3 linked regions of the Bombyx mori genome follow. Each later gene encodes a partner of the first gene's protein in a complex. Links are inferred from orthologs where the notes say so. Each region holds a gene or a part of one and is shown in the gene's direction. Other genes may lie near its edges.

The links.
Region 2: p53 and DNA damage-regulated protein 1 (region 1) and prefoldin beta subunit share a complex: the UniProt entries of both Homo sapiens proteins name them as parts of the PAQosome complex. The link is inferred for Bombyx mori from reciprocal best matches to the Homo sapiens genes PDRG1 and PFDN6.
Region 3: p53 and DNA damage-regulated protein 1 (region 1) and dynein axonemal assembly factor 10 share a complex: the UniProt entries of both Homo sapiens proteins name them as parts of the PAQosome complex. The link is inferred for Bombyx mori from reciprocal best matches to the Homo sapiens genes PDRG1 and DNAAF10.

What each region holds. Positions count from the first base shown.
Region 1 is NC_085121.1:8,869,135-8,871,962, reverse strand, and holds p53 and DNA damage-regulated protein 1, read left to right. Parts: upstream 1-1,474; 5' UTR 1,475-1,559; coding exon 1,560-1,958; 3' UTR 1,959-2,218; downstream 2,219-2,828. UniProt on the Homo sapiens protein: May play a role in chaperone-mediated protein folding.
Region 2 is NC_085112.1:4,987,519-4,990,541, forward strand, and holds prefoldin beta subunit, read left to right. Parts: upstream 1-1,494; 5' UTR 1,495-1,625; coding exon 1,626-1,994; 3' UTR 1,995-2,483; downstream 2,484-3,023. UniProt on the Homo sapiens protein: Binds specifically to cytosolic chaperonin (c-CPN) and transfers target proteins to it. Binds to nascent polypeptide chain and promotes folding in an environment in which there are many competing pathways for nonnative proteins.
Region 3 is NC_085131.1:9,119,233-9,123,637, reverse strand, and holds the start of dynein axonemal assembly factor 10, read left to right. Parts: upstream 1-1,506; 5' UTR 1,507-1,608; coding exon 1,609-1,892; intron 1,893-1,974; coding exon 1,975-2,102; intron 2,103-2,450; coding exon 2,451-2,668; intron 2,669-3,430; coding exon 3,431-3,553; intron 3,554-4,405. Other genes in the region: CXXC-type zinc finger protein 1, read right to left, coding at 1-102, 173-199. UniProt on the Homo sapiens protein: Key assembly factor specifically required for the stability of axonemal dynein heavy chains in cytoplasm.

The sequences.
Region 1 (2,828 bases):
TGAACACGAGTGTGTCCAAAGCGACAACAATTGAAACATTGTACCGTTGGATAAATATACTGTTCAACTGGAATACTTGAAAAAAAGGAATACACTCTAGAGGGAAGAGACTGTCCGTCAAAAGTCAAGACCACAGTTTGAGTAGGAATCCATGAAGTTCCATCTGAGTTGACAGACTTCCTGTTTAATCTACGGGATTTGATAATTTGTCCATAGCCTTCTGGGATTTGCAGATTGTCTACAATGTCCTCATGAGTCCACTCCTGAGGGATACCCTTTATCAAACCCATTTTACATATATTATATGTAGGAATCACTACATTATACAATGGATTCATAGACATGTTGGCTATGAAAATATTGGCATCACTATGTGTTTTAAAAGTTATTGCCAGGCGATTACGACCTACTCGTTTAATTCCATCCTGTAATATATTACCAAGATTGCTTTTCTTTAGAAAATTTCCAAATTTAAGTGGGTGCAGTGATGTAGTACTATTAGAATCTGAGATTAAAGTAACATGGACCATATATGGGCCGGGATCCTGTTCAGTGTATTTTTTTCTGTAAACAGAGTCAGCCATTGGGGTCTCAGATGGTGTCATAGAAGGACTCGCTGAAGTAGGCTCTGGTGAGGTCTGTACAATTTGGCGAGGAGGCACTATAAGCTTATTTACGTTATTTGCAAGATTTCCCGCCAAAGCCTGCTGCAGCGGGCGCAACGAAAGTTGTTTGTCCGAGATCTTTGGTTTAAAAGAATTAACAAGTTGTTTCTTTTTTTGGGATTTCTTCGATTTAACGTTGACAAATTCAGATACATTGGAAAGGTCGAACTCATCACAGAAAAATATTGGTTGGCTAAACCTTGAGTTAGTCGTATCAGTTGTCTCCTCAGTAATATTCGGATCCGGGGGATCCGTTCCCGCCTCCAACTCCATACTATCTACACTAAAGTACTAAAATATACAATTATAAACTAAACATATATACAGTTATAAACTAAAATATGCTACAATATCTACAGAATATCAAATTAAATTAATTAAAAAGGATATGAAATTTTTTATTGGCCCTCTTCTCAAGTTCCGTCCCAAATTTTTTCAGGAGTGAAGTTGTGTGATTTGTTTTATTTTTTCTATTTAGTGTTTCTTCGGGTTTAAATGTGTAATAATGGTGGTTTATTAACTGTTTAATATCTGTGAAAGTGCACAAATGTGGGAAAATGAAACAAAGCCAATGGACGTAACTTCTTGAGATCCTCCAAAAAGTCCACTGAAAAAATCTTAGTGAATGACCACCATTTTACTGAGATTATATTTCATCCCATTTCATTTCATTTAATTTCATCCCAGTTGATTAATGTCTTAAATTAGTCGTCTTCATCTCATTTCACTCCATAATATCATTTTTCATAAAAATATGAATATAAATTAAAATAAGACATGACTTAAAGGTCTCAGTTACCAGGTCATAAAATCCCTTAAAAAAAAAAAGTGACATCAGCTGGCTTCGTTTAAAAATTAAAAATACGAACAAAAGTTATTAAACATGCACTAAACATGGTAAATAATCAAGAAAAACTATTGAGGTATTTAAAACAAATAGAAACACTTGCATCTGATATTCTTGTTGATAAAAATGAAATTATAATGCTAGATAAACGAAGAAATAAAAATCGAGAAGCGTTAAGAGATCTTACTAAATCAAGTCAGAAGAAATATTGGCTCACGGTGGGATCAATACTCGTAAAGCATAAGTTTGAAGATACTAAAACTCTGCTGGAAGCCGATCAAAAACAATTAAATATTGACATAAACAAATTGAGGAGTGACCTGAAAATCAAAGTCAATACATTGAGAGATCTGGAAATGCAACCACCAGTTCCAGGCTTAATGTTAGTACCTCTGTCCCAGAAAGAAACTGAAGGATTAACAAAAAGTAATTTATTTTCTTTGTAATGGAAAAGTAAAATCAAAACTTAAAATAGTAACAATATTTAATTTTGATTATTCAGAAATGGAGAATGCTACACTATTTTATTGAGGTAATAGGGGTTTCTGAAATTTTGCTGACTGTCATGTATTTAATGAGTAGACCATTATGAAAGTTCATGTCAGAAGGTAAAATTATAATAATATATTATTATGGGCATCCCTCGTATAACACAGTGCTTGTAAAACCCAGTTTTGACATTACACAGTACAAGAATTGAGAATAATCTATGATTGTTTTATTTTTACACAAGTTCAAAAATATAAATATATATTGGATTTTTTTTTATTTGCGTTTAAAAATGGAAATTTCAACTTTATTGCTATTATGAAATCTCCCATTTCATACTGAGAAATGTCAGAATGCATTTTGTTCATAGTAAATGAAATTGATAAAAGTTTTTGCTTTTGTTTTTAATATTTTGGAAAGTAGTGACAATTGAAAGAAAGTAAATAATACCTGTCTCCTACAAGTTTATATGTTCATAATGATTTCAAATTGTGGTCCATAAAAGATTTAAGTCAGAATTTTTATGGTCATTTTAATTTTGAACCTTTAAATTTAAATGTTTGACAAAATCACGAAGCAAACGAAAGCTACTAAATATCAGTGTTACTTTTATTTTTAAATTTATATGATTCTTTTTCAAAATAAATGTGTAACATTAATAGGAGTATGCAAGTATAGAGGGTACAGTTAAGCACTACTGTCTTATCGGGGACAAATTGAATAAGTAGCAACACAACGGAAAAGCCACCAAAATACCACTCACATACCAAGTGGTATGATATGAATGTAGCAATTATAAATGGAAGAATGTGTGGTAAATAAAAAAA
Region 2 (3,023 bases), on another chromosome or scaffold:
GTTCACAAAACAACTCTGAATATGCATGATAATAGCTGCTAACTTATAAAAAATCGCGTTTCAAATTAACTTCCTGTGGTGGTCATTATTTTGGTGCTAGAAACTTTGCTCTCTTTTATTTATTTGATATTAATAGAAGACGACTGTGATTTATACACGTTATTTAGTGTTTGAGCCATCATATATATTAAAGGTAAGTCTCAGTTGTTATTGGTTTTAATGTATTTGATAAAATAAAAATACATGTAAAAATCTGTTGTTTTTGGGGATATTGGGGACGTCTTAGGTACAAATAACAACGAAAAAGGGGTCAATTGGGATGAGAATACGTGAAATGGAAACGAGCTGAGTATAAATAGGTACAGGTTTGTAGGGTTGTCTATGTAGTTATAACAATATTTTTTAAATTTGTTGGTAAAAATCTTGTTTATTCATGATGTTTTTGTCTAGAACTTTTATTCAAAATTATCAATGTGTTATTTTATTGTTTGGTAAATACTTATATTATCAGTTACGTACTGTTTTCTATTTTTAGATAATGCCTCGCGTGTACGTATTAAAGAGTGCAAAGCCTTAAAAGAGATATGATCCCTTAATATTAAAAACAGCAATAGAAGCCTTTGAAATTGGGAATAAGTCTTTAGTTGAAATAGCTAAGCAATTTAATATAAGTAAGTCGATTTTGCACAGACATCTAACAAGAACAATGAAATGTCAAGGTGGACAAAAATGTCTAAGTAATACATAGTAAAATATTTAATATTTGTTCAGAGTGGGGGTATTCATCTGATTAATCCATGGAATAACCAACACACCTAATCTCTTAACCCAGATAAAAATATCAGCCCCTAAGTACTTACCAAGAACGAAAAAATATAAACCGTTTATAAGAAAGCTTACTCTCCTTTGGGACTACAATAATGTCCACGGTAGCATGGTCTCCGTCAATGTTCATTCGGAGTTGTCCGATTACGCTGAACTAATTTTAAGTGATGAAATAAATTTTTTTTAATTGTATCACAACTTACAGGACAAATCTGTCGCGGATCATTTCTCAAGTAAATATAAATTAATCATAAGTAAATAAATGTAATCAAGTTGATGATCACTTTGTTGGTGCAACTAAATAAATAAATAAATTAAAACCAAGTAGTGGCAGCCCTAGCAAATTTCTCATTTCGTCCCAATTAACCGCAATTTTCGGGTAAATAGGGATTACACCTATTTTTGCTTTTTTTGCTTAAACTGGAATGCTAGTTGCATAGTTTTAAATTGGACAACAAAGATGCCCCCAAGACTCAATCATTTCGATCCTGATATAGCATTATATACATCAACATCTACCTTAAAATTGGTCATAAAGTTGGAATTTGTCCCTAATCGCCCCATTTTACCGGTACGTAGTGACACTTGAAATTTTTTGTGTATTATCTATGGTTAATTTCAAAATCAATGTCAGACAAATGACAAAACCATAGAGAATACACACATAACCCATAGATTATACACTTAATATATTTGAGACATAACCTCAACTAAAATTTTTGAGCAGGTGAAAAAAAACGGAAAAGATTTCTGTATTAAACTGTTTATTTTCTATCAAATCATACCTTGACTGAAACACAATGGCGGAAGAAATACAAAAAAAGTTTCAAAAACAGCTCGAATTATTTCAAGGTGTTCAAAAAGACATAAAGAAAGCGGTCACTCAGAAACAACAATTAGACAGCCAGTTAAATGAAAATAAAGCAGTCAAAGAGGAACTAAAACTCTTAAGAAAAGATTCAGAGGTATACAAACTCATCGGACCCGTATTGGTGAAGCAAGATTTGGAAGAAGCCAGACAAAACGTCTCCAAACGTATGGAGTACATTAGCAAAGAAATCAAAAGAACAGATGATCACATATGTGCTTTAGAAAACAAACAAGAAGCACTGCAAGAAAACTTAAATAAACTTAGAAATGATCTTGGCAAACTAAAACTAAAAGCTTGAAAAATGTGTGAATTAAAAGTAAAATATTTCTATTCTTCTATTATGACTCACTTGTATGTTTAGAGAACTACTATTACAAATAAAAATATTACACATTAATAATTTAATGTATGTTTAGCTATGCAATAATCATGAAAAAACTGCTGTGTGGCATTACACTAAACTTACCTCTTCCTTTTGTTAACTCAATATAAAAATAAAAAATCTTACTGAAAGTAAGTTTTTATTTTACTGCCATTGCAGGCAGATGTTTGTGGCCCTCCTGATGTCACCATCACTCATAGACATCAGATATGCCAGGAGCACAGCCAAACTGCTGCCTATTATTTACTTATTATTTATTTTCAAAACTAAAATATTTTGTTACTTGTACATATTTATTTTTGTGTGTATAAGCTGAAAGTTTGCAAGGTAATTGACGGTATAATGAGTACCATTAGTTTTGAAACCAGATTCATCTTAGAATAATTGTTCGCTTCTATTACCAGTAGTTTTGTATATTAACCTAAAACCATATGACAATCTAAAAAAAATTGGGTAATTTTTTGTTTTTAAATACCTATTACAAATGTTATGTATTGCATTTGTATACAAATGGTCGGCATAATTTAAGCTGGCAGTGGAGAAAGTGCACAAATGTAATTTAATAAACTTATTCTAATTATGTTTCCAATGATTTATTCAATAATTAATACTGCTCATAAAGAATACAGGCATAAAAAAAATTGTGTCTTGAATCTCAACATAGTGCAACTTAATCACGTTCAAGATACTCATTCTCCTGCATTAAGCTACATAAAGCTAAAGGCATTGAAGTTACAATGTGTCACTATAAAAAAAATACACATTTATAAGCTTTTGTACCCAATTTAAGAATTATATTGTTCCTAATGAATCCCAAGAAACTGTAACTTTAGTATTAATAAAGTTTGTAACTTTCTAAAAAAAATACCTTTTCTTTTTATGCAGTCTACATTTCTTGAGTCACTGTTCATTACTGAATTAGGATATCATCCATAGTTCTCTGCG
Region 3 (4,405 bases), on another chromosome or scaffold:
CGAAGATCGACAAATGCAGTACGCTTGTCCAGCTTGATTCAGCAATGTTGTAATTTTGGATTGGCGTTCAGGCAAGTCGAACTGCTTAGCAATGTCCGCTTTCTGGAGCAAAAAGATATTATTTACTAGATACATTTGATTTCTATAGGATTTACATTTCACTAACACTTACAGATTGTCTCGACTTTTTATCACCCATTGTATTCCCTTTATTTCAAAACCGATTCAATGACACTAACAACTGCTAGCACCCAAGGAAGTTTTTATTTTTTATTTAACAAATTTTATTCTTTTTTCAAATAAATAACTTCATTCATTCTTTAGACTCGTAATTTTTTTTTCAATTTTCTTTTCATTTCCTCATATTTTTAGAAAGTTATTGAAATATAAAGTTTGGCCACAATTTTCCAAGCTATAAAATTGTCGTTTGACACATGGGATAATCAAAGTTGAGAATTTGATTGAATGGTCTGTTCCAAAGACAAAAAGGGCCCATAATGCCAAGTCTATTGTAACAAAAAATCGAACTGAAGGACGGAAAGTGATTTAAAAAAGAAGAAAGATTTTTCAGAGGTTTTAATCAGGTTAAAATTTGAAATGATAATTCAAGTATTAACCTTTTAGTGTCTCTAAAACTTATGAAGGGTAGAAAGAAGTAAGGAGCACCATCTTGAGTAGGGGAGAAGCTGAAAAATGTTAGAAGATTACTGGTGGTAGTACGTCTTATGAGTCCGAACGGGTAGGTACCACCATCCTGCCTATTTTTGCCGTGAAATAGTAATGCGTTTCGGTTTGAAGGGTGGGGCAGCTGCTGTATTGTTCCTTACAACTCATGTCTCGAGGTGGGTGGCGGCATTTACGTTGTAGATCTACGGGCTGCCGTTACCACTTAACGCCAAGTGGACTGTGAGTTAGTCCCCCATCAAGGCTTTATAAAAAAGAATAACTAAATTAGCGCTAGTCTAGGAAATGGAAATGATAGGAACATGGGAGGCTTAAGCAGAGTGAAGTGTGCTGGGTTGAAAATTTAATATTTTTTGAGACTTGCGTAAAATATTATATGGACTTTTTGGCGGGAACGCAAGAAGTGAAATTGTGTGATTTGTTTTATTTTGTCTATTTAGTGTTTCTTCAGGTTTAAATGTGTAATAACGGTGGTTTATTAACAGTTTAATATATGTGAAAGTGGACAAATCTGGGAAAATGAAACAAAGCCGCTGGACGTAACTTCTCGGGATCCTCCAACAAGTCCGCTGAAAAAATCTCAGTAAATGAATGACCACCACCATTTTACTGATATTTCATCCCACATCATCTCATTTCAATTCATTTAATTTCATCCCAGTTGATTAATGTCTCAAATTACCTAATCATCTTCATTCACTCCATAATATTTATAATTTTTCATAAAAATAAGAATACTAATTAAAATAAGACATGACCTAAAAGTCTTAGTTACCAAGTCATAAAATCTTTTAAAAAAAGCAATATTATGTGGCCTATGATGCTGTTGCCTAGCAACCAAAAACCAATGCTGTCTGTCACGTTTGTTTTCGCTAAAGATTCGCATAAACCTTTGAATATTTCTTTTATATCTATTTTTAAGTCATGGAAGAATTGAATACCCCCCAAATAATTACCCATATTGAAAATAACTTAAACCATTCACTATTTGATTGCAAGTGGATACCATGTTCGGCTAAATTTATAGTACTTGGTTCTTTACCGAAAGGCTCGGGTACCATTGAAATATTTGAAATAAACGCCGGAGAAATTAAGAAAATAAAAGAAATTGAGAGGTCTAACTCGTTTAAATGTGGAACGTTTGGAGCAAGTAGCGACATTGAGAGACGATTTGCTACTGGAGACTTTAGAGGCACTTTGGAAGTATGGTTTGTAACAAAATCATAAAATCCATACTTTTTCCGGATAATCATAAAAATCGAATGTTAATAAATAATTTATTTTCTATAGGGACTTAGAAAAAGGTTCCCAAGTGTACATAACAAAAGAACATTCAGATATAATTAACTCAATAGATGGGATGGGAGGTAACACAACCAACTGTGGAGCTCCTGAAATTGTAACTGGCAGTAGAGATGGTAAGGTTTCATGCCAAGGATTATCCTGTTACATTAAAGGGTACTCGTGTGGTGATGAGTAGATTTTCTAAATCAATATTACAATACCTTCTAAGATTTGACTACCATTAGCCATGTTGACATACTGGGATAGTTTTTTTTTTATCCTCATCAGATTTTGATTTTGTCCAAAATATTTACAAATTTTATACACAAACCTTTCTCACACTTCTATTTATATCTTTGAAAATAGTATCAAAATTTGTTAAGTCATTTAGAATAAGTAATCAGAGAAACAGACATTGGGTTTAAAACTCTTTAGGAAAAATAAAAATGGTAGTGATAACATAATAATTACTGAAATTATAGGAACAGTAAAGGTTTGGGATCCAAGGCAAAGAGGTAAACCTGTTGCAAACATGCAACCAATGCAAGGTGAGACTAGAAGGGATTGCTGGGCTGTTGGCTTCGGAAACTCATTTAATGATTCTGAAAGGATTGTAGTTGCTGGTTATGACAATGGAGATCTTAAAATGTTTGATTTGAGAACAATGTCACTTAGGTGGGAATGTAATTTGAAGAATGGAGTAAGTATGTAATTTCAAGACTAAATTTAAGATTTTTATGTCACAACTCGCAATAGGCATATTATACAACATGCATGATAAAAAGTTGTTACTGAAACCTGTTAACATCAGTAAATACAGGGTCATTACTAGTTGTATAGTAGCAGTAGTTATTCACTTTAATCTTGTCCTAAGAAAGATGTGTTATATTTTTCAAAAAGTCACAGTAGTGGGGGAGGGAGTTCATTTTAATTTTAATGTGAGTAATTATTTAAGAAAACATCAACACAATTGAAGTAAATAAATTCAGTTAATCTCGAAATTTTTATCATTATCTCAACTGGTACTCTGATGAACAATGACTTGTTATTATCTGTGTGTGTTTTAATTCTTTGTAGTTTATGATATATCCTAAATTAGCTTGATAGGTTGTTTTGCAATAGAGATATATATTTATATAACTGGTGGTAGGACCTCATGTGAGTCCGCACAGGTAGGTACCACTACCCCGCCTATTTCTGACGTGAAGCAGTAATGCGTTTCGGCTTGAAGGGTGGGGCAGCCGTTGTAACTATACAGAGACCTTAGAACTTATATCTCAAGGTGGGTGGCGCATTTGCATTATAAATGTCTATGGGCTCCAGTAACCACTTAACACCAGGTGGCCTGTGAGCTCATCCACCCACGTAAGCAATAAAAAAAAAAATATATATATATATATATATTAAATTATATCTAAGTCAAAATTAATAGATAAATATTGAAGAATTTTTGTTTGTTTAGGTATGTTCCTTAGAATTCGATCGTAAAGATATTCCAATGAATAAATTAGTGGCAACCACACTTGAAGGGAAGTTTCATGTTTTTGATGTGAGGACTCAAAATCCAACTAAAGGATTTGCTCAGGTAACCTAATGTTTTACTGACCAGCAAGGAATGTCTTTGAGAAATAAATATGAAGATTGCATGCAATGCAGAGCATTGTTAAATTTGAATTTTCCTACCCCTGCCTTATCTATTTTTACCACCATTAAATCACATGTTCTGGTGTATACTATAGTACAGCTGTTGTTCCAATTTCTTTGAAAGTTTATCTACTCTATGTATTTGGCAGAATTCTTCACATTGCAGTGTCTGTTATCTCAGCAATAGATGGGCTGTATCTCTATTCATCAGAATCCATGGACCTTAATATATTAAAAGCACAATCTATAGTTACATCAGTTAATTTAAAAGTCGTCGTGGCCTAAAGGATAAGACGTCCGGTGCATTCGTATCGAGCGATGCACCGGTGTTCGAATCTCGCAGGCGGGTACCAATTTTTCTAATGAAATACGTACTCAACAAATGTTCACGATTGACTTCCACGGTGAAGGAATAACATCGTGCTATAAAAATCAAACCCGCAAAATTATAATTTGCGTAATTACTGGTGGTAGGACCTCTTGTGAGTCCGCACGGGTAGGTACCACCGCCCCGCCTATTTCTGCCGTGAAGCAGTAATGCGTTTCGGTTTGAAGGGTGGGGCAGCCGTTGTGACTAATACTGAGACCTTAGAACTATATCTCAAGGTGTGTGGCGCATTTACGTTGTAGATGTCTATGGGCTCCAGTAACCACTTAACACCAGGTGGGCTGTGAGCTCGTCCACACATCTAAGCAATAAAAAAAAAAAAAAAAAAAAAAAAAAAATAATTACCGTTCTTCCATAATATTCATGAAACAATGCTGCTCTTAATAAACTAAATTTATTAAACTA